Linked DNA regions of Struthio camelus. The protein of the gene in region 2 interacts with the protein of the main gene of each other region in a pairwise test. Links are inferred from orthologs where the notes say so. Each region holds a gene or a part of one and is shown on either strand. Other genes may lie near its edges.

The links.
Region 1: the proteins of KEAP1 (region 2) and CCNB1IP1 interact in binary tests that used the Homo sapiens proteins (3 or more experiments, as listed by UniProt). The two-hybrid records come from large-scale screens. The link is inferred for Struthio camelus from reciprocal best matches to the Homo sapiens genes KEAP1 and CCNB1IP1.
Region 3: the proteins of KEAP1 (region 2) and PRKAG1 interact in binary tests that used the Homo sapiens proteins (3 or more experiments, as listed by UniProt). The two-hybrid records come from large-scale screens. The link is inferred for Struthio camelus from reciprocal best matches to the Homo sapiens genes KEAP1 and PRKAG1.

Annotation. Positions count from the first base shown.
Region 1 is NC_090970.1:770,294-777,242, forward strand, and holds the start of CCNB1IP1 (E3 ubiquitin-protein ligase CCNB1IP1), read right to left. Parts: upstream 3,060-6,949; 5' UTR 2,973-3,059; coding exon 2,826-2,972; intron 2,159-2,825; coding exon 1,847-2,158; intron 1,767-1,846; coding exon 1,463-1,766; intron 123-1,462; coding exon 1-122. Other genes in the region: TEP1 (telomerase protein component 1), read right to left, coding at 4,755-4,949, 5,030-5,137, 5,669-5,754, 6,027-6,132, 6,651-6,949. UniProt on the Homo sapiens protein: Ubiquitin E3 ligase that acts as a limiting factor for crossing-over during meiosis: required during zygonema to limit the colocalization of RNF212 with MutS-gamma-associated recombination sites and thereby establish early differentiation of crossover and non-crossover sites.
Region 2 is NC_090972.1:4,828,286-4,835,705, reverse strand, and holds the start of KEAP1 (kelch-like ECH-associated protein 1), read right to left. Parts: upstream 3,078-7,420; 5' UTR 3,014-3,077; intron 994-3,013; 5' UTR 895-993; coding exon 352-894; intron 1-351. Other genes in the region: S1PR5 (sphingosine 1-phosphate receptor 5), read right to left, coding at 6,669-7,420. UniProt on the Homo sapiens protein: Substrate-specific adapter of a BCR (BTB-CUL3-RBX1) E3 ubiquitin ligase complex that regulates the response to oxidative stress by targeting NFE2L2/NRF2 for ubiquitination.
Region 3 is NC_090969.1:971,141-979,168, reverse strand, and holds the start of PRKAG1 (5'-AMP-activated protein kinase subunit gamma-1), read right to left. Parts: upstream 3,060-8,028; 5' UTR 2,987-3,059; coding exon 2,981-2,986; intron 2,861-2,980; coding exon 2,806-2,860; intron 1,699-2,805; coding exon 1,595-1,698; intron 1,435-1,594; coding exon 1,353-1,434; intron 1,279-1,352; coding exon 1,220-1,278; intron 1,096-1,219; coding exon 1,050-1,095; intron 935-1,049; coding exon 880-934; intron 590-879; coding exon 463-589; intron 199-462; exon of another isoform or gene 74-198; coding exon 1-73. Other genes in the region: KMT2D (histone-lysine N-methyltransferase 2D), read right to left, coding at 6,647-6,739, 6,879-6,987, 7,164-7,237, 7,317-7,602, 7,698-7,828, 7,986-8,028. UniProt on the Homo sapiens protein: AMP/ATP-binding subunit of AMP-activated protein kinase (AMPK), an energy sensor protein kinase that plays a key role in regulating cellular energy metabolism.

The sequences.
Region 1 (6,949 bases), on a different chromosome or scaffold from region 2:
CGGCTCGCCCGCTCCCCCCCCCGGGGAGCCGAAGGGGAAGAAGCTGCCGCCCGCCGCGGGGGGAGGGGAGGCCCCGAAGAGGGGCCCGAAGGCGCCCGGCGGCGTCGCCACGGCAACCGCACCTGCGGGGGGGGGGGGAAGGGGACGTCACCGGCCGCCGTCTTGCTCACCGCCATGGCGGCCGCCATAGCGCCCCAGCCCCACGGAGGCCGCCATCTTGCCCACCGCCATGGCGGCCGCCATCTTGCCCACCGCCATGGCGGCCGCCATAGCGCCCCTTCCCTGTAGTCGCCATCTTGCCCATCCCCATGGCGGCCGCCATCGTACCCCCTCCCAATGGTGGCCGCCATTTTGCCCACTGCAGCCATCTTTCCCATTGTGGCCATCTTGCCCACCCTCATGGAGACCACCATCTTGCCCACTGCCATGGCAGCCACCATTGTACCCCCTCTCAATGGTGGCTGCCATCTTGCCCACCGCCGGAGCAGCTGCCATCTTAACCCCCCACAGCAGTGATCATCTTACCCACCATTGCCATCCTGCCTACAGCCCATGGCGGCCACCATCTTACCCCTCCCTCATGGCGGCCGCCATCTTGCCCACTGCCATGGCAGCCGCCATCTTACCTAGCGTGGCCATCTAACCCCCCCCCCACCATGGTGGCCACTGTCTTACCCACGGCAGCCATCTTACCCACCACCATGGCAGCCGCCATCGCCCCCACCACAACCAGATTGCACCGTGCCCCATGGCAGCCACCATCTTCCCCACCACCATGGGGGCCGCCATCTTACCCAGCGCCATGGCAGCTGCCATCTTACCTACTATGCCCATCTAAGCCTCTCCCCCATGGGGGCCACCATCTTACTCGCCACCATGGGGGCCGCCATCTTACCCACCACCACGGTGGCTGCCATCTTGCCTACCACGCCCATATAACACCCCTCCATGGCAGCCACCATCTTACCCAACACCATGGCAGCCACCATCTTACCACCATAGCGGTCGCCATCTTACCCACCACCACGGTGGCCGCCATCTTGCCTACCACGCCCATAAAACACCCCTCCATGGCAGCCACCATCTTACCCAACACCATGGCGGCCACCATCTTACTCACCACCATAGCGGTCGCCATCTTACCCACCACCATGGTGGCTGCCATCTTGCCTACCACGCCCATATAACACCCCTCCATGGCAGCCACCATCTTACCCACCGCCACGGCGGCCGCCGCCTCCCCCACCACAACCATATCGCGCCGTTCCCCACGGCGGCAGCCATCTTGCCCCTTCCCCACAGCGGCGGCCATCTTGTCCCTTCCCCGTGGCGCCGATCACCTTCCCCGCCACAGCCGCCTCCCCCTCCCCGTGGCGGCCATGTCGCCCTCCCCACGGCAGCCATCTTCCCCCGCCGCCGCGGCCATCCTTCCGCCTTGCCCGCAGCAGCGGCGGCGCCTTACCCGTCAGCGAGGCCGAGGCGGGCAAGTCGCGGCCGGCGGCGGCCATGTTGCGCAGGCGCAGCCCGTCGTAGAGGCCCTGCAGCTTCTGGTACTGGCGGTTGCGCTCCATGAGGCGCTCGGAGAGCGCCGTGAACTTGCCCTTGTACTCCTCCAGCACCCGCTTCAGCGAGGCCACCTCGCTCTTGACGGCCGCCACCTCCGCCTCCTTGCCCTGCAGGCGCTGGGCGCAGGCCCGCTCCGCCTGCCGCAGCCGGCCCTCGGCCTGGCTGAAGGCGTACTCCTGGTAGAGGCGCTCCTGGTGCACCTGGAGCCAGAGGGCGGCGGGCAGCGGAGGCGGGCGAGGGGGCGGCCGCCGCCGCGGGCAGGGGGGAGGCGGCCGCTCACCTGGTAGGTCCAGAAGGCCAACGCGCGCGAGCTGATGTCCAGCACCACCTCGGGCCGGAGGCCGGCCAACACCATGGCTTTGTACTCCTCGGAGGGGCTCAGCTCGGTGCGCACGATGTCCAGCTTGCCCGAGAGGGCGCTGCCGCAAGCCGGGCACACGGCCGGCGAGCGGCTGAACTCCCCGCTGCCGTGCGGGTCGCAGAAGATGTGCGAGCAGGCCGTCACCCAGGCGTAACCCGCCAGCTTCGCCCGGCACTTGCGGTAGTTGCACAGCAGCAGGTCCTCGCACACCGCCATGGGCCGGGCGGCGGGCTGCAAAGGCGGCGCGGGGTGCTGCCGGCCGCCGCCGGACTTACGCCAAGCGGGGAAGCCCGGCGCCACGCGGGTTTTCCCGCCGTCCCCCCTACCCCGCCACTGCTTGACCGACGCGCCGGGCGAGCGGATCTCCCCTCCGCCCCGAGGCGGCCGCGCTACGGGGGAAGAGGGACCGATGGAGAGGGGCTCGAGGCGGCTGCTGTGGGGAGAGATGGGCAGGGAAAGTGCAACCAATGAGGGGCTCAAAGCAGCTGCCGAGGGGTGGGACGGGCAGGGGAGGTGCGAGCGATGGGGGGCTACAGGCGGCCGCCGTGGGGCGAGACAGGCAGGGAAAGCCTGAGCAATGGGGGGGCTCAAGGCGGCCGCCGTGGGCAAGACAGGCAAGGAAACTGTGAGTGATGGGGGGTTCAAGGTGGCTGCCGTGGGGCTCAAAGGAGTTGCCATGGGGCAAGACGGGAAGGGAAAGCGTGAGGGTGGCTCATGATGGGGTGGCTACAGGTGGTCACCATGGGGTGGGACGGACAGGGAAAGCGTGAGCGATGGGGAGGCTCAAGGTGGCCGCCGTGGGGCTCCGAACAGCTACCCCGGGCTGACACGGGCAGGGAAAGCGCGACCGCCATGGGGCTCCCCACAGCCACCGCGGGGCTCGAGGCGGCCACCCTACCTGGGCGCAGAGGGAGAAGCACCCAAGGCGGCGGGAGGGACGGCGGAGGCGCTGCCGCCTCCTCGCCGCCCTTCGCGGGAGGGAAGGGAGGCGCGCTTCTCCCCTCACGGCAAAAAGGGCGGGAAAGCGAGGGCCGCTACTGCGCATGCGCCGCCCGCGCCGCTTCCCGCCCTCAGGGCGCGCCCCGCCCCTAGAGACCGCTGCCGGCCACCGCGCATGCGCCGCTTCCCGCCCTCAGGGCGCTCCCCGCCCCCTCAAGGGCCGGTCCCACCCACGGCGCATGCGCCGCTTGCCGCCCTCAGGGCGCGCCCCGCCCCCTCAAGGGTCGGTCCCTCCCACGGCGCATGCGCCGCTTGCCGCCCTCAGGGCGCGCCCCGCCTCTAGAAACCGCTGCTGGCCACCGCGCATGCGCTGCTTGCCGCCCTCAGGGCGCTCCCCGCCCCCTCAAGGGTCGGTCCCTCCCACGGCGCATGCGCAGCTTGCCGCCCTCAGGGCGCGCCCCGCATCTAGAAACCGCTGCTGGCCACCGCGCATGCGCCGCTTGCCGCCCTCAGGACGCGCCCCGCCCCTAAAGACCGCTGCCACCCAGGGCGCATGCGCCGCTTGCCGCCCTCAGGGCGCGCCCCGCCCCTAAAGACCGCTGCCACCCACGGCGCATGCGCTGCTTGCCGCCCTCAGGGCGCGCCCCGCCCCTTAAGCGCCACTTCCTGCCCTCCGCGCATGCGCCGCCCCCCCCGCCTCCGGGCAACCCCAGCCCTCAACGGCCTTTCCCGCCCACTGCGCATGCGCCGCCCCCAACGCCTTTTCCCGCCCCAACCATGAGGCGAAGCGGGACGAACCATCATGGAGGCGGGGGAGGGGGGGGGGAGGGGAAGAGAAGCAGGAGGAAAAGCGGCTGAAAGGCGACGAAAAAAACTCGTTAAAAAACAACAACAAAAAAAAGAAAATAGAGGATTTTATTAAAACACACAAGGCGCGGGGCTTTCCCGCCCTCCCCGCGGCCGCTCGGGAAGGTGGTTCCGCCTCGGAGCACAACGCCGCCGCCCCCGCCGCACCTGAGGAGAAGGCAGGAAGAAGAGAGAGCGATGGCGGCGGTAGCGAACGGCCCTCGCCCGCCGCCGCCGTCTAATTGTGCGACCCCGCAAAATTCGCCGCCGGCCACCCGCGAGCGGCCGCACCGGGCCGCGGCCGGGAGAGTGAAGGAAAAAAGCCGCCGTTGTGCTCTGCGACGCCGCCAAACCCCGCCGCCCACGGCTCGCGGCGGCGGGGGGAACGCGGGTCGCCTCGGTGCTGTGGGAAAGGGGGGGGGGGGGGCAGCGTTACCTGCGCCGCAGCTCCCGCAGCTCCTTCCCCGCCGCCGCCGCGGCGCCGAATGAACGGCAGGCGGCCGAGCCCGCGTGACGTCACCCGCCCCGCGCCCGCTCATTGGGCCGCCGCCCGCCTCGCTCGCTCCTCCCCACCGCGGGGGGGCTGCCGGGGTGGGAGGGACGAGCCGCGCGACGGGCAGCGCGGCGGACCAATCAGCGCGGAGGTGGGCGGGGTTATGCAAACAGACCCGCAGGCCGGCTGGGCGGCGGGGGGCGGGGCGGGGGCGGGGCTTGCCGGCAGCGGAGCGCTGCGATTGGCGGGGGCGGGCGGAGGGGGGCGGGGCCAAGCGCTACCGTCGCAACGGGGGGGCCTTAAGGGGCCAAAACCTCCTGTTAGGGGGTGGTGGGCGGGGCTTGCTGGTGGGCGGGGCCCCTGGGCACCCCCTCCAATCAACACACAGAGACGGCAGGGGAGGGGCAACTTTATTCCACTGGGGGAGGGGTGCAGAAGAGGGGGCGTGGCCTGCCGCAGGGGGGAGCGACCACCCCTCGGCGGCAGGCCCCGCCCCTTAGCGCAGGCCACGCCCCCCCGCAGGGCAGGCAGCAGCTGGCTTGCAGAGCGCTAGGAGGGGCCGGGGGGCGGGGCCTCCGCCGTCCGGGGGGCGTGGCCAGCAGAAGGGGCGTGGCCAGCAGAAGGGGGCGTGGCCCAGCGGAGGAAGTAGACGCGGCCGCCGGCGTCGCCCAGGGCCAGGCCGGGTTCGGGGCCGGGCCGGACCTCGGCGCAGGTCACGGGGGCGGCGCAGGCGAAGTGGGCCAGCTGCCGGGGGGGGCGGGGCGTCAGCGGGCCACGCCCACCGCTAGCCCCGCCCCTCCTGTAACCCCCCCCCCCGCACTCACCGGAGAGCCCCCGGAAGGGCGCCAGAGCCGGGCCCGGCCGTCGGCCCCGGCCGTCACCAGCGTCGTCCCGTCCAGGGCGGCCACGGCCGTGACCGCGCCGCCGTGCGCCTGCCGCCCGGACGCCTGGGTCCCTCGCCCGGACGCCTGGGCCCCTCCCCGGACACCTGGGCCCCTCCCCGGACACCTGGGCCCCTCCCCCGACACCTGGGCCCCTCCCCGGACACCTGGGCGCCCCCCCGAACGCCTGGGCCCCTTCCCGGACACCTGGGCCCCTCATCCCGAACACCTGGGCCCCTTCCCAGACACCTGGGCCCCTCCCCGGACGCCTGGGCCCCTTCCCCGGACGCCTGGGCCCCGACCCGGACGCCTGGGCCCCTTCCCCGGACGCCTGGGCCCCTCATCCCGGACGCCTGGGCCCCTCCCCGGACACCTGGGCCCCTCATCCCGGACACCCGGGCCCCTTCCTCGGACACCTGGGCGCCCCCCCGAACGCCGGGGCCCCTCCCCGGACGCCTGGGCCCCTTCCCGAACACCTGGGCCCCTTCCCAGACACCTGGGCCCCTCCCCGGACGCCTGGGCCCCTTCCCCGGACGCCTGGGCCCCTTCCCCGGACGCCTGGGCCCCTCCGTGGTCACCCACCTTGCGGCAGCTCCAGGCCCTGCTGTCGCCCCGGCCCCGGGTCGCCCACAAGGTGCCATCGGAGCGGCCCAGGAAGAGCCCCTCACCTGGGCGGCGGCGTCAGGCCTCCCCGAAACCACCCCGGACCCCCCCCAAACCAGCCCCAGCGCCCCAAAATCCCCCCTTTTCACCCCAAAACCAGCCCCAGTGCCCCAAAATGCCCTTTTCACCCCAAAACCAGCCCCCAGAAACCCAAAATCTCCCTTTTTCACCCCAAAAACAGCCCCTAGAACCCCCAAAATCCCCCCTTTTCACCCCAAACGCAGCCCCCAGACCCGGCCGCCCCCAAAACCACCATTTTTCACCCCAAACCGCTCACCAGGCAGGAAGCAGCCGCCGTTGAACCACTGCGAGGGGCCGAGGGGCTGCGGGGGGGCGGCGGGGGCCCCGGCGTCCTGGGCCTGCCAGCCCCGCCCCCCCGGCACCTGCCACCGGCCGGCACGGCACGTCACGCGGGGCCTCCCAGACACCTGGGCCCTTCCCCGGACACCTGGGCCCCTGCCCCGGACACCTGGGCCCCTCCCCGGACACCTGGGCCCCTTCCCCGGACACCTGGGCCCCTTCCCGGACGCCTGGGCCCCTTCCCTGGACACCTGGGCCCTTCCCCGGACACCTGGGCCCCCTTCCTGGACGCCTGGGTCCCTTCCCCGGACACCTGGGCCCCTTCCCGGACACCTGGGCCCCTTCCCCGGACGCCTGGGCCCCTGCCCCGGACGCCTGGGTCCCTCCTGGACGCCTGGGTCCCCTTCCCGGACGCCTGGGCCCCTCCCCTCCCCACCCACCCGGACGCCTGGGCCCCTCCCAGGATACTTGGGCCCTTCTCCCAGACACCTGGGCCCCTCCCCGGACGCCTGGGCCCCCCACCCGGACTCCTGCCCCCCCCCGGACTCCTGGGCCCCTTCTCCCGGACGCCTGGGCCCCCCCCGGACGCCAGGGCCCTCACCAGGCGCCAGAGGCGGGGCTGGGCAGCCCCCGCCCACAGCAGGAAGGAGCCGTCGGGCAGCGCCTGGGCGTCCAGGGGGCTCCCGGGCAGGCGGAAAGCGGGCGGCTGGCGCGGGGCCCCGGCGTCCGGGCCCGTCGGCTCCTCGGGGGGGGCCCAGGCGTCCGGGCCCGTCGGCTCCTCGGGGGGGGCCCCGGCGTCCGGGCTCGTCGGCTCCTCGGGGGGGGCCCAGGCGTCCGGGCTCGTCGGCTCCTCGGGGGGGGCCCAGGCGTCCGGCAGCGCCTCTTCGTCCGGAGGGGCCC
Region 2 (7,420 bases):
CTCCCAGCTCGGCGCCTCTGCCCTGCCAGCGGGGAGCGGCTCCCGGGCTGCGGGGCCAGGAGGGGGCCGCACGGATCAGCTCTTCCCCCCCCTGCGCCGGAGCTCGTCCGTCCCTACTGCAAACCACGCTGCAGCCGGGCCGCCCCCCCGACTCACCCCTGCGTCCCCCTCCAGCCACGCGGAGGGCGACTCGGCCACCACATCCTCGCCGTCGCCCCCGACCCCCCCCCGCTACCTGCTCCTGCGCTGGCGGGGGGGGTCACGGAGCCCCACGGGGCGCACAAACCCATCCCCAGGTCGCCGGCTGCCGAGCGGGGGCCTGGGGACCCCCGCGCCGCTGACCGCCCTCACCTCGCCGAAGTGCATGTAGATGTACTCGCGAGCCCGCTGGTGCAGCTCAGCGCAGCCGATCTGCTCGGCGAAGTTGGCGATGCCGATGGCGTTGCTGGGGTCGAGCTGCTGGATGAGGAAGTCACAGCAGGCGCGGACGACGCTGTCGATCTGGTACATGACGGCCCCGTTCATGACGTGCAGCACGCACTTCTCCCCCACCGAGATGGAGGCCGTGTAGGCGAACTCGATGAGGCGCTCCATCACCCGCGGGTGGATGCCCTCGATGGGCACCACCTCCATGCCCTGCTCCCGCAGCCCCGTGGTGAACATGGCCTTGAAGACGGGGCTGGACGAGGCCAGCACGACCTTGTGGGCCTGGAAGTCGGCGGGCGGCCCGTCCTGGTAGCGCACGCGCAGCGTCACGTCGCAGAGCTGCCGGCTCAGGCGCAGCTGGTTCATGATGCCGAAGGCCTGCTTGGTGTGCTCCTCCAGCGTGTAGCTGAAGGAGCGGTTCCCGTGGTGGGACGGCGTCACCTCCGCCTTGCACTCCGGCGCGTACATCACGGGCGCATGGCAGGCCCCGGGGGCCGCGGGGACGGGGCGGGCTAGGAGGGCGGCGAGCGCCCCGCGGGGCCCCGCGGCACCGCAGCTCCTTCACACCTGCAGGGAAGGGAGACGGGCAGGGGGCTCAGCAGGGCAGGCGCCCCCCAACACGGCGGCGGTGACCCCCCCCCCTTATCCGGGGGGTCTGGCTGACCGCAAACAACCGGCAGCGCCCGGGGGGCCGACCGGGAGGAACTAGCGACGCTGGTTGCAGCAACCGAGGCCAGAACCAGGCATGAGGTCAGCAGAAAGGGGGTTGTTTTCCCCTACGCGGCATGAGGTCAGCAAAAAAAAAAACTAAAGGTTCGTCTGCGGCGCCAACGCCGCCCCGGCTGCGCCCCCAGCCCCCCGAGGAGCGCCTTGGGAGGCGAAGGGCCACGCTCAGCACCCCAAACCGCCCCCCCCTCTCGCCCCGGGGACCTCAGCAGAGCCCCGGTCCCCCGGACCTCCCCCCCCGGCTCCCGCTGCCTCCCAGCCACGGGGAAACTGAGGCACAGAGCGGGCAAGGGGGCCCAGGAGTCCTGCCCTCCCCCTCCCACCTGGGGGCGTGTCCCCCCTCCCCTGCTCTGGTGACACCCCATTGAGCCCCCCACGTTGGGGCAGCAGGCCAGGCTGGGTGCCTGAAGGGGCCTGGGGGGGGGGTCCGGGGTGATGGGAGACAGGCTGGGGGGGGCACAGGGCCTCCCAAGGGGGGGCTGCAGGGAGCCAGGTCCCCCCTGGGGGGGGGGCACAACCTTCCCCGGGGGGGGGGACAACCTGGGGGGGGGGAACGGCCTGGGCACAGAGCGGGGTGTTCCCCCCCGCAAGGCAACACGGGGAGGGGAACACAATTTGGGGGGGGGGATCTCCACCCCCACCCAAGGTTACACAGAGGGGCACAGCTCAAGGGGGGAACCCCCCTCATGAGGCTACGTGGGGGGGCACAGCTCGGGGGGGGAATCCCTGCCCCCCCACACGGTTACACAGGGGGGCACAGCTCGGGGGGGATCCCCGCCCCCCCACGGGGTTACACGGGGGGGGGACAGCTCGGGGGGGATCCCCACCCCCCCACGGGGTTACACGGGGGGGATCCCCGACCCCCACGGGGTTACACGGGGGGACAGCTTGGGGGGGGGGGGGGGATTCCCACCCCCCCATGCGGTTACACGGGTGGGGACAGCTCGGGGGGGGATCCCCACCCCCCCACGGGGTTACACGGGGGGGATCCCCGACCCCCACGGGGTTACACGGGGGGACAGCTTGGGGGGGGGATTCCCACCCCCCCATGCGGTTACACGGGGGGGCACAGCTCGGGGAGGATCCCCGCCCCCCCACGGGGTTACACGGGGGGGATCCCCGACCCCCACGGGGTTAAAGGGGGGGGGACAGCTCGGGGGAGGGATCCCTGCCCCCCCACGAGGATACACGGAGGGGCACAGCTCGGGGGGCATCCCTGCCCCCCCCACGGGGTTACACGGGGGGGCACAGCTCGGGGGGGTTCTCCGCTCTCCCACGGGGTTACACGGGGGGGCACAGCTCGGGGGGGGGCACAGCTGGGGGGGGGTTCCCCGCTTTCCCACGGGGTTACACGGGGGGGCACAGCTCGGGGGGGGCACAGCTCGGGGGGCATCCCTGCCCTCCCCACGGGATTACACGGGGGGGCACAGCTCGGGGGGGGCACAGCTCGGGGGGCATCCCTGCCCTCCCCACGGGGTTACACGGGGGGGCACAGCTCGGGGGGGGGCACAGCTGGGGGGGGTTCCCCGCTTTCCCACGGGGTTACACGGGGGGGCACAGCTCGATTCCCCCCCCCCGGTGTAAACAAACCACCGCGCCGCCCGGAGCCAGCGGGGAGGGGGGAGCCGGTCTTTCCCCCCGCCCCGAACAAGCCGCCGCCAACCCGGGGGTCCCGGGGAGTGGCGGGGGGGGGGAGAGGCCGGGCCTGCCCCGGGGGGAGGATCCCGGTGGGGCGGAGCCGGAGGGGGGGGTCTCGATACCGGGCAAAGCGGCCTTGGCGGGGGGGGGAGGGGCACAGGACTGGGGGGGGGGGCTACGGGTCGGGGGGGGGGGTCCCTTTCGCGGGGGCCGGGGGTCTCACCCAGCCATGGCGCGGCGCGGCGCGGCCCCCGGTGCGGCTCCTGGCGGCGGCGGCGGCGGCGGCGCGGCCCGCTCGGGGGGGGGGGGGGGGCGGGGGGGGCCGTGACTAAGCACCGCGCGGCGCCCCCGTCACAATAAGAGTCCGCGACGGACACGCCCCCCGGCCCGCCTGGACACGCCCCCCGGCCCGCCTGGGCACGCCCCCCGGCCCGCCTGGGCACGCCCCCGAGCAGCCTGAACACGCCCCCGAGCTGCCTGGCCCCGCCCCCGAACAGCCTGGACACGCCCGCGGCCCGCCTGGCCCCGCCCCCTAGCTGCCTGACCCCGCCCCTCCGCCGGATGGAACGCGGCGGTGCCAACGTTCGGCGCGGCGGAAGCGGCGCTTCCGGCCGGGGCCGGGGCGGGGAGGGGAGGCACCGCGGGGGGTTTCCCGGGGGGGGGCCGGGGGGGGGCCCGGTGGAGCGGAGGCGCAGGGGACCCTGGCCGGGTTGGGGAGGGGGGGACACCGGGCGGCACCGGGGGGAGCCGGTGAGCCCGGGGCCGGGGGGCACCGGGCTGGGCGATGCCCGGGACACCCCGGTGGGACGGGGTGGAGGGGACATTGGGGGACCCGTGGGGGGGGGGGGGAACGGGCCCCCGTAGCTGCCACCACCGGGAATGGAGACCGGCCCGGCGTGGAGACGCCACGTGACCCTTCTGTCACCCGCTCCCCCAGCACGGTGATACCCCCCCCCCCCCCGTCACGGTGGCCCCGGGGTCACGGCGGCGTCCCTGACCTGGTGACCCGGCAGCCCCGGTGACGTCCTGCCCCGGTGACGGTGACGTCCCGCCGCTCCCTCCCTTCCCGGCAGCGCCGTGGGGCAGGAGAGGACTTTGCTCCGGCACCAGCTGGCAGCGCTGCCACATGCAGGGCCGCGTGCCTGGGTGTGCAGCACTGCGCGCCTGGGTGTGCGGGGACGTGACGTGCGCCTGGGTGTGCAGCACCGCGTGCCTGGGTGTGCAGGGACGTGACGTGCGCCTGGGTGTGCAGCACCGCGCGCCTGGGTGTGCGGGGACGTGACGTGCAACACTGCGCGCCTGGGTGTGCAGCACTGCGCGCCTGGGTGTGCGGGGACGTGACGTGCAACACTGCGCACCTGGGTGTGCAGCACTGCGCGCCTGGGTGTGCGGGGACGTGACGTGCAACACTGCGCGCCTGGGTGTGCAGCACTGCGCGCCTGGGTGTGCGGGGACGTGACGTGCAACACTGCGCACCTGGGTGTGCAGCACTGCGCGCCTGGGTGTGCGGGGACGTGACGTGCAGCACCGCGCGCCTGGGTGTGTGGGGACGTGACGTGCAGCACCGCATGCCTGGGTGTGCGGGGACGTGACGTGCGCCTGGGTGTGCAGCACCGCGCGCCTGGGTGTGTGGGGACGTGACGTGCAGCACCGCATGCCTGGGTGTGCAGGGACGTGACGTGCGCCTGGGTGTGCAGCACCGCGCGCCTGGGTGTGCGGGGACGTGACGTGCAGCACCGCATGCCTGGGTGTGCAGGGACGTGACGTGCGCCTGGGTGTGCAGCACCGCGCGCCTGGGTGTGCGGGGACGTGACGTGCAGCACCGCGCGCCTGGGTGTGCGGGGACGTGACGTGCGCCTGGGTGTGCAGCACCGCGCGCCTGGGTGTGTGGGGACGTGACGTGCAGCACCGCGCGCCTGGGTGTGCAGGGACGTGACGTGCAACACTGTGCACCTGGGTGTGCAGCACTGCGCGCCTGGGTGTGTGGGGAACGTGACGTGAAGCACCGCGCGCCTGGGTGTGCAACACCGTGCGCCTGGGTGTGCGGGGATGTGACCTGCGCCTGGGTGTGCAGCACCGTGCGCCTGGGTGTGCGGGGACGTGATGTGCGCCTGGGTGTGCAACACCGCGCGCCTGGGTGTGCAGGGACATGACATGCAGCACTGCGCGCCTGGGTGTGCAACACCGTGCGCCTGGGTGTGCGGGGACGTGATGTGCAGCACCGCCCCTGGGTGTGCAACACCATGCACCTGGGTGTGCAGGGACGTGACGTGCGCCTGGGTGTGCAGCACTGTGATGTGCAGCACCGTGCACTGCGGCATGCAGTGCAGCACCGTGCAACGCTGTGCAGCTCTGCGCCGTGCGTCTGGCCGTGCAGCGCCGTGCAGCTCTGCGCCGTACAGCGCCGTGCGTCTGGCCATGCAGCTCTGCGCCGTGCAGCGCCGTGCGTCTGGCCATGCAGCACCGTGCAGCACCGTACAGCTCTGCACCGTGCAGCGCCGTGCGTCTGGCCATGCACCTCTGCGCCGTGCAGCGCCGTGCGTCTGGCCGTGCAGCACCGTGCAGCACCGTACAGCTCTGCACCGTGCAGCGCCGTGCGTCTGGCCATGCACCTCTGCGCCGTGCAGCGCCGTGCGTCTGGCCGTGCAGCACCGTGCAGCACCGTACAGCTCTGCACCGTGCAGCGCCGTGCGTCTGGCCATGCACCTCTGCGCCGTGCAGCGCCGTGCGTCTGGCCGTGCAGCACCGTGCAGCACCGTGCAGCTCTGCGCCGTGCAGCGCCGTGCGTCTGGCCGTGCAGCACCGTGCAGCACCGTACAGCTCTGCACCGTGCAGCGCCGTGCGTCTGGCCGTGCAGCTCTGCGCCGTGCAGCGCTGTGCAGCTCTGCACCGTGCGTCTGGCCGTGCGTCTGGCCGTGCAGCTCTGCACCGTGCAGCGCCGTGCGTCTGGCCATGCACCTCTGCGCCGTGCAGCCCCATGCGTCCGGCCGTGCAGCACCGTGCAGCACCGTGCAGCACCGTACAGCTCTGCACCGTGCAGCGCCGTGTGTCTGGCCATGCACCTCTGCGCCGTGCAGCGCCGTGCGGCTGGCCGTGCAGCTCTGCGCCGTGCAGCGCCGTGCAGCTCTGCACCGTGCGTCTGGCCGTGCAGCTCTGCGCCGTGCAGCACCGTGCAGCACCGTACAGCTCTGCGCCGTGCAGCGCCGTGCGCGGCTCCTTGCCCCCGATGTGCAGCTCCGCTGCAGCCCCGCATGCCTCGCCGTGCCCCCCCCCCCCGCTGCCCACCCCTGCAGCCAGGGCCCCCCCCCAGGTGCCAGGGCCTGGGCAGAGCCGCCAGTCGCACCCGGTGCCCCAGGCGGCACCCGCGGGTGCTGCTCACACCCACCCGCCCCGCACCGCCTGCCCCCAGCCCCCCCAGCACCCCCCCCGGCAGCCGGGCTGTGGTGCCCAGCTGGGGGGGGCGGAGGGGGGGGCATCACCACGACACCGAGGACCCCTGGCCCCCCCCCGCTACTCCCGCTTGGCTGAGCCCCCCCCCCAAACACCCCTGCTTCCCCTACTCGGCTGTGTGCCCCCCAGCCCCCCCCCACTGCCCCCAGCCGGGGTCCCCCACTGCCCCTGCTCAGCTGTGCCCCCCCAGACCCCCCACTGCCCCCCCAGCCGGGGTCCCCCCACTGCCCCTGCTCAGCTGTGCCCCCCCAGACCCCCCACTGCCCCCCTAGCCAGGGCCCTCCCACTGCCCCAGCCCCCCCCACCCTTGGCAGCCCCTGGGGGCAGCAGAGCCAGGGCCGAGGCCGGGGTGGGGGGCTCCGAGGAGGCTTTTTATTACAAAGGCGCTATAAAACCGGGGGGGGGGGTGCTCAGGCAGGGGGGGGTGCTCAGGGGCGGGCGGCGGGGGGGCCGGGCGCGGGGGGGCCGCGGCGGAGGCCGGCGGCGGCGGGGCGCTGGGACGAGCGCTCCGACCGGCTGGCGCTGCCCTCCAGGATGGGGAGGCCGAAGGGGCCGGGGGGGCCGGGCCGGGCGCCCCCCCGGCCGCAGCCCAGCAGCCGCCCCACGGCCCGGCCCAGCTGGCGGCTGCCGAGCGTGTAGACGACGGGGTTGAGCAGCGAGTTGAGCATGGCCAAGCCCAGGAAGTAGTCGGCCTGGTAGAGGACGGCGCAGGCCGGCGGGCAGCAGCAGGCGTCCAGCAGCAGCAGGAGGAAGAGGGGCAGCCAGCAGGCGACGAAGGTGCCCACCACGGCCGCGACCGTCCTCAGCAGCGCCAGGTGCTTGCGGGAGCCGCGCGGGCCGCCCAGGCGCCGGCTGCTCGCCCGCACGCCGCGGTAGACGCGGGCGTAGAGCACGGCGACGCAGAGCAGGACGGCCAGGCAGACGGCCACGCAGAAGGAGACGTAGCGCTTGGAGAAGAGGGGCAGGACGGTGGAGCAGCGGGGCAGGTCGCCGAGGCAGTTCCAGCCCAGGGCGGGCAGCGCGGCCAGCAGCCCCGAGGCCGCCCAGCTGGCCGCCACCAGCCCCAGCAGCCGCCCCTTCTTGCCGCCCTGGCGGAGCTTCGCGCGGGCCATGGCCACGTGGCGCTCGACGGCGATGGCCAGCAGGCTGAGCACCGAGGCCGCCAGCGTGGCGAAGACGC
Region 3 (8,028 bases), on a different chromosome or scaffold from region 2:
TGTTGCTGTAGGTGCCAATCTGTAGCTCCTCCAAAGTTTTGGCCATAAACTGAGGCTTTGGGACCTCCGTGATCTGCAGGGGACGGGGAGGGGGACAGTGCTGACGCTGGCTCGGCCTGGCACTCCCCGGGCCCCACGGCGCCGCCGGCTCCAGCTGCCCCGGGCTGACGCGGCTCGAGGGAGGCCAGGGGCCCGGTCCTAGGAGTGAAAGTAAAGAGCGATGGGTGCGGAGCGGGGCCTGGCAGGACCCCAGGGCGGAGGAGTCCTAGCGTTGGCACAGGTGGGGCAGCGGAGACGGGCGGCACGGTCCCACAGGCTCAGCCCCCCAGCACCCACGGCAGGGCGACGCACAAAGCGCCGAGGCTGTGCCCACCCCAGCACCCTGGAGACCGCTCTACCTGGCACCGCCCAGGGCTGGCTCGTCTCCTGCTACCGCAGCACGCAGGGGGAGACGGGACTTACAAAGAGCTTGAGGAACTTGAGGATGCGTTTGTGGGTGAGAATGTAGAGCGTGTTGCCCGAGTCAGGGTCGATGACTGGCAAGCGGTGGATCTTATTCCGGATCAGGGATGAGACAGCGTCGAAGAGACTGTGGGACAAAAGGAGGGGATAGAGAGGAATCAGTGCTTGCCAGGGCCCCATCCTTGCACCACGGTGGTGCTGGACAGGTCTGTGCCAGGGAGGATGCAGGGAAGATAAGGGCAGGATGGGGAGACTGCTGCGCCCCGGTGCGAGAGGAGCCCAAGCTGGGCAGGGAGAGAGCAGGGGCCCAGGGGAAGCTCCTAGGCAGCAGCAGCCACAAAACTCTTTTTGCCAAGCAGCATGGGGGCACTGACGCTGCCAGTCATGCTCCCTCCCGCCCAGCAGGACTGCGGGTACCTGGCGTTGGGGGAAATGCAGACCAGCGGCTTGAAGGAGTCTTGTAAGTAGACCTCTGCAGGGAGAGGAGACACTGAGGACGCGAGCAGCACTGTGGGCATGCAGGGTGCAGAGCCGGGGGGCTCCGGGCCAGTCTCGGGGGGTGGGGGGCTGACGATGGTCCCTCTTACCTCTCCACGTCTCTATTTTATGCTCCTCCAGCTCGTAGATCTGCACCTAGGCACGTGTAGAAAAACAGGAGTTAATTGCAGCCATCGCAGGCACGCACGAGGTGGACAGAGACCGGAGCAGAGCCGGGCAGCGAGCCCTATGGGACCCCCACCCCTGCCCCTCTCCTCACCATCGGGGACTTGTAGTAGCGGTGCAGGATGTTGATGAAGTCGGTGATGGTCAGCATCCCTGCGGGGGGGAGCGGGGTGAGCAGCATGGCCCTGCCCGCAGCCCACCTACCCCACGCTGCCCCGCTCGCTCACCCACAAAGCTTTGCTTCTTGCTGTCCCACAGCGGGGCAGCCCGCACGCCATTGGTGACCAGCGCGAAGAAAGCCTTCTTCACCTGCAGCCAGGGATGCAGAAGGACATCAGGAGAGGGACGAGGCGCCCGGCGGGGGAGTGGGGTCCTCGGGACCACCCAGGTCCCTCCACCTGGTGAAGGTGGCAAAGTCTTTGGGGCGGGAGGACGACAGCCCGAGGTCCACCCCGTGGCCCTGGCCCACCTGCAGGGAGGTGTCGAAGACGACCAGCTTGGAGCTGGTGGGGATCAGGTCATAGCAGCAGTGGGACTTCATGAAACAGCTGTAGACGCCGCTGTGGGACTCCTCTGGGGGACAGGTGGCATGAGGGGTCATAGTGTCCCCAATACATGTCATCGGAGAGGAGACGCCCCAAACCCTAAGAGCCCTCAACCTACGGGACACCCCCCAGTCCCTGGGACGCCCAGCCGAGGGCCCCAGGACACCCCAAACCTCTGGACAACCCCAACCATAGGACACCCCAAACCACAATCCTAGGACACCACAAACCCAGGACACCTCAAAGCCTGCTCCAAAGCCTAGACACATCCTGATCTAAGGGGCACCTCCCCAAGCCATTGGACACCCCAAGCCATTGGATATCCACCCTGGGTCCCTGGGACACCCCAAACTGTGGGATACCCCAAACCCCAGGACCTGGGACACCCCATGGACCTGGGACACTCCAAACCATGGGACATCTCCAACTAGGGTCCTAGGACATCCCAAACCCAGGGACGCCCCAACCCCCGGGACCTGGAATACCCCAAACCATGGGACATCTCCAACTTGGGTCCTAGGACATCCCAACCCCCAAGACACCCCAATCCAGGGCCCCAGGACACTCCAGCCCCCCAGGACACCCCAACTCCCAGGACACCCCAACTCAGGACCTCAGGACACCCCAGCCCCCAGGACACCCCAACTCCCAGGACACCCCAACTCAGGACCCCAGGACACCCCAGCCCCCAGGACGCCCCAACTACCAGGACACCCCAACCCCCGGGACACCCCAACTCCCAGGACACCCCAACTCAGGACCCCAGGACACTCCCACCCCCGGGACACCCCAGCCCCCAGGACACCCCAACTACCAGGACACCCCAACCCCCGGGACACCCCAACTCCCAGGACACCCCAACTCAGGACCCCAGGACACCCCAGCCCCCAGGACACCCCCACCCCGGGACACCCCAACCCCCAGGACACCCCAACTCCCAGGACACCCCAACTCCGGACCCCAGGACACCCCCACCCCCGGGACACCCCAGCCCCCAGGACACCCCAACTCCCAGGACACCCCAACTCCGGACCCCAGGACACCCCCACCCCCGGGACACCCCAAACCCGGGTCCCCGGGACGCCCCCAGCCCGGAGAGGCCCCCCCCCCGGCCGCGGGACGCCCCCGGCCTCACCCTCCGGCGCCGCCGGGCCCTGCTCCGCCGGGCTCTCCGCGGCCGGACCGGGACCCTGCGGACAGACACGGGGCAGGTCGGGCCGGAGCGCAGCGGAGCGCGGCCCCGATACCCCCCCCACCTCCACATCCCGCCCCCACCCCCCCGACCCGGTGCCCGGTACGGCGGCCCCCACCTCCATGGCCCCCGGCCCGCCCCGCCGCCGCCGCCGCCCCACTTCCGCCCGGCGCCAGCCCGCCACTTCCGCCAGCACCGGCCACGTGACCGGAAGCGCGCGGCCCGCGTGACCCTCGACCGCGCGGCGACCTTTCACCTCCCGCCGGGTCACCGCCGGGGTTGGGGGGGGGGGAGAACCGGGGGGTCCTGGGGGGGCTATGGGACCCGGGGGAGGGTCCTGCGGGCTTCTAGGGAGGCCACAGAGGGGCCATGGGGGGGTTCTGGGGTCTAGGGAGGGTCCTGGAGGGCTCCTAAGGGGTCCCAGGGGAGCCGGGGGGGGTCTGGGGGCTCTAGGGGGGGTCACAAGGGAGTTATGGGGGGTCTAGGGGGATCCTGGAGGGCAAAGGGGGTCTTGGGGTCCTGGAGGGCTCCTAAGGGGTCCCAGGGGAGCCAGGGGGGGTCTGGGGGGGGCTCTAGGGGGTCACAGGGGAGCCAGGGGGAGTCTAGGGGGATCCTGGGGGGCAAAGGGGTCTTGGGGTCTTGGAGGGCTCCTAAGGGGTCCCAGGGGAGCCGGGAGGGGTCTGGGGGGGCTCTAGGGGGTCACAGGGGAGCCATGGGGGGTCGAGGGGGATCCTGGGGGGCCACGGAGGGCATGGGGGGGTCTTGGGGTCCTAGGGAGCTCCTACGGGGCCATAGGGGAGCCAAGGGGGGTCTGGGGGGATCCTGAGGGGCCACGGGGGGGTTTGGGGTCTAGGGAGGGTCCTGGGGAGCTCCTAGGGAACCACAGGGGAGCCAGGGGGGTCTGGAGGGGTTCTGGGGGGCCCCAGGGGGGGCAAGGGGGGTCCTGGAGGGCTCCTAGGGGGTCATGGGGAGCCAGGGGGGCTCTAGGGGGTCACAGGGGAGCCATGGGGGGTCTAGGGGGATCCTGGGAGGCAAGGGGGGGCAAAGGGAGTCTTGGGGTCCTAGGGGGCTCCTACGGGGCCACAGGGGAGCCAAGGGGGGTCAGGAGCGTCCTGGGGGGGGGCCACAGGGGAGCCATGGGGGGTCCTGGAATCCAGGAGGGTCCTGAGGGGCTCCTAGGGGGCCACAGGGGGGTTCTGGGGTCCCCCAGGGGTGTCTGGGGGGGCTATGGGGTCTGGGGGGACACCCAGGTCTGTCTAGGGGAGCTCCTTGGGGGCAACAGGGTCCTGGAGGAGGTCTGGGAGGTGCAGGGGAGGCATCTAGGGTGTCTCAGGGGGCTCCTAGGGGGCCACGGGGCTGTGGAAGAGGCATAGGGGGGCACCTAGAGGTGTCTGGGGGGGCTATAGGGGCACCCAAGGGTGCTCTGGGGCCTGAGGGGGCATGGGGAGCACCTAGGGTCCCTTAGGGGGATGAGGGGGACAATACAGGGAGCCTCAGCCTGGGGGGACACATAAGGGTCCCCCAGACTTGGGGGGGACGCTCAGGGGTCCCCAGCAGGACTTCAGTCCCTGCCCCCAGCCCCAGGGGACGGTACCCGCCCCCCCAAGGCTGCGTCACCCCGTGCCAAGGGGGTCTGGGGTGGCCCTGGGTGCCGTGGAGCTGGGGCAGCTCCTCGGGTAACGCAGTGGGGCCCTTTGGTTTAAGCTTTATTAAACAAAAAAAACCAAAAACCCAGAACACTGAACAGTTACTGGGGACTGTCAAAGGGAAAACGTCCGCGAGCCGGGGTGCTGCAGGCAGCCGTCCCAGCCCAGCTCGCCACCGACACCGCCAGCCGCGAGGTGCGGCCCCCTCCCCAGCCCGAGGGCTTGGAGCCGCTGTCTCCCTTTACACCTTCCCAGCGGGGAGAGACGCGAGCGAGCGGAGAGTCAGACTGGCTTCTCACGCGCTTTATTTTAAAATAACATCCAGTGGTTTCGGTATTGGTAAAAACGGGTTTTCTACACGCCCCCGGGCTATTTACAGCTCTGAAAGTTAAAGTTTTTCGTATATTTTTTTTTTTAAAACTTTCTCATCCCCCACCCCCAAATTTTTTTTTTTTTTTTAAACATTTTTACCTTAAACCTTTTTGCAGCTTTGACGAGTTTGCGGAAGCAGCTTTCAAGAACGCCCCGGCCCTGGGGTGCCCGGACCCGCCGACGCCGGGCAAACCCGCCGGCCCCACCTCGACGCTCGCCTCAGCTCCTCCCGCCAGCCCCGGCGGCGACGGGAAACGGGCGCGAGGGTCCCCCCCCGCGCCGTGCGTTTGTGCGTTAAAGAGATCCCGGCTCCCCCCCAACCCCGGAGCCGTGTGGCCACCCCCCCCTCGCCCCGTCGGCGTCCCCGCAGGGCCGCCGCGGCCGGCATGGTGGGGGGGACCCGGTGCGTAATGCCCACTCGCTGCTTCGCTCTCCGAGGCCGCCCCTGCCTGGCAGGAGGCTCCCAGCCACCCCTCGGAGATTGGGTTTTAAAAATGCCACAGCCCCCCCCCTTGCCCCCGCACCCCGAATCTCAGCCCAGCAGAGCACAAAGAGCCCCCCTCCCCCCCCAGTCTAGTATATACAATATAAGGTATAAATAGATAAATAACCTCCCCCCCCCACCCCGTGCCGACATCGGACGCGCGCAGCCTCCGGCAGCCCGGAGCAGCGGGCGCTGGAGACGAGTGGGGCGGCCCCCGTGCGGTGAGGCCCTGGCCCCACGCGGCTGTGCCTGCCCCCCGGCTCGGGGTCTGGGGGGGCTGGGGAGCGGGTCCCATGTGCCCCCTGGCCCCCCCCTCCCCGAACCTTGGCACGTCGCGCAGCCGGGGCCTCCCTGGGCTGAGCCGCTGCCCGGGGCAGGGGACGAGGGCAAGGGGTTCCCCCGCGTCCCCTTCCCTGGGGACCCCCGCCAGGGGCTTTCTGCAGCCACATCCACGGGAGGGGACAGGGGACGAGAGATGCTGCGTCCCCCGGGGCAGCCCGAGGAAGAGGGAAAGGGCCCTTGGGGACGGCTCCCGCGAGAGGCTCTGCCGCGGCCCAGGGCCGGGTGGGTGCAGGGCTCACATTTAAAAACAACAACAACAACAACAACAACAAAAAATCTAACACTTAAAATGAGGTAGGTTTGGGTGCAGAAGCTCCTTGTGTCTTGTCGGGGGCCCTTGCCGCACGCGCCTCCTCCCAGCTCCGCTCCGCAGGCCGCGCCGCCTCCACGCGCTCCCGGGGCTCTCGTCGACACGCACAAACAAAAAGAGATCAAAGGAACCGAGCGAGCTCTGGCCGCCGCGCGGGCGCGGACGGGGCAGAGCCCGGATTGTCGAGCTCAAGGAGTCTGTGTTACCTTGGTAATTAGCGAGCAAATATTATTAGTTTTCGTTTCTAAAAATCCAGGCCGGCTCCGAACTCGCCCCCCGGCTCTGGCACCGGCTCCGCTGGGGCCGCTCTGCTCCCCCCGGGGCTCCCCCGCCAAGGAGGCGGGTTGGGGGGGGGGTCACGCAGGGCCCCCCCCCCCTCCTCGCAGGACGAAGCAAAGAAAACCCTGAGTTGCCAGTTCGTCCGTCCCGCTCAGGCAGGGCCGAGCGGCTTCGCGGCGGCCGCCCTCCCCGCCGGAGCCTCCGCGCCCCGGCCGCAGCCCTGCCCGGGCACCTCCCGCGGCCCCCGCGGCGCGGCGGAGGGCCGGGAGGGCCCCGGGGAGCCGGTGTCTCTCGGCGAGGTCTCCGAGGCGGGCGCTGCTGCCCCTTCCCCCCCCCAGCCCCTTTTCCCAGTTAGTTCATCCACTTTCGGCAGTTCCAGGCTCCGCAGTGGCAGGGGATCTTGTGCTGATCGTCCTCAAAGTCGAACTGGTAGTCGTAGGTGAGCTGGGGGGGAGCGGGGAGTCACGCACGGCACGGCGCCCGCCCCGCTGCCGCGCAGCCCCCCCACACACACCCCCCGCTGCCCTGAGCCTCCCCCGGAGCCGGTGTCCGCCCCCTCCACTGCCCCGTGCCCCGGCCTGACCTCCTCCCCCTTGGGGATGCGCCGGCTGGAGATGATGATGATCTTGTCCTCCTTGTCGAAGGTCACGACTTCGGCCACGCAGTTCGGGGCGCACGAGTGGTTGATGTACCTGGCGGGGGACAGAGCGTCAGGGCCGAGGCCGGCGCGACCCGGCAAGACGGCGGGGCAGGACACCTGGGTCGCAGCTCCAGCTCAAAGGTGAGGTGGGACAGACAGAGCGAAACGCAGGCGAACAGTCACCCTGCTCCCTCCCAGGGTGCCACCGCGGCTTGGCCCTGCTCTCACCTGGCTGGCCCCCCCGTCAGCGTGGCGTCAATGACGTGCTCGTTGTTGATGCGGAACATGTAGATCCCGCGGTTCTGGGGAGCAAGAGAGAGTCACCAGGTGCCCCAAGCCCCTTGCGTGCCCCCTCACCCTGCCCAAACCCCCGTGCCCCACCTGCTCCTCGTAGATCTTCTCCCGCCGGTTGGCCACCTCGTTACGGATGATGGTGCCGATGTACTCGATGACCATGGTGTGCTTCTCGATGTCCTTGGCCGCGTAGAGCCCCAGGCCCTGGATGCGGGACCGCGCCAGGTACACATTGTTCTTCCACTCCGTCTTCAGGCGCCGGTACTGGGAGGACTTGGAGTGCACGAACTGCTTGCTGTAGGGCGTGTTGGTCTCACCCGTGAATGTGCTCTGGTAGGCCTTGGACATGCTTGTGCTGTTCAGGGTGTGGGGCCTGCCGAGGGGGCCGGGAGGGCGTCAGAGCTGCGGCGGGGCAGAGCATGGGCTCACCTGCCCCCCGATGCCGGCTCTCCCCGGCCCCCAGCTCACCGTTTGTAGTGGGTGAGGATCTTGGGCTCAGAGCGGGCGCAGCCAGTGGGGTTGATCATCAGCGGCAGCTCCATGAGCGGGTGGCGCCCGTAGCGGAACAGGTAGTTCTGGCAGCTCTCGACGCCGGGCAGCTGCCGCGGAGGGAGCGGAGGGGCTGTGGGTCGAGCGGCAGCACCGCGGGCCACCCCGGCCCCAGAGCCGCCAGCCCCTTCCAAAGGGGGCTGGCCCATGGCACGTGCGCCACACATCTGGAGACCCCCCGCACCCAGGCGGGGCCCCGGTACCTACCGACTCGGCGATGCGCAGCACCGCGTGCACCGTGAGGCCAAAG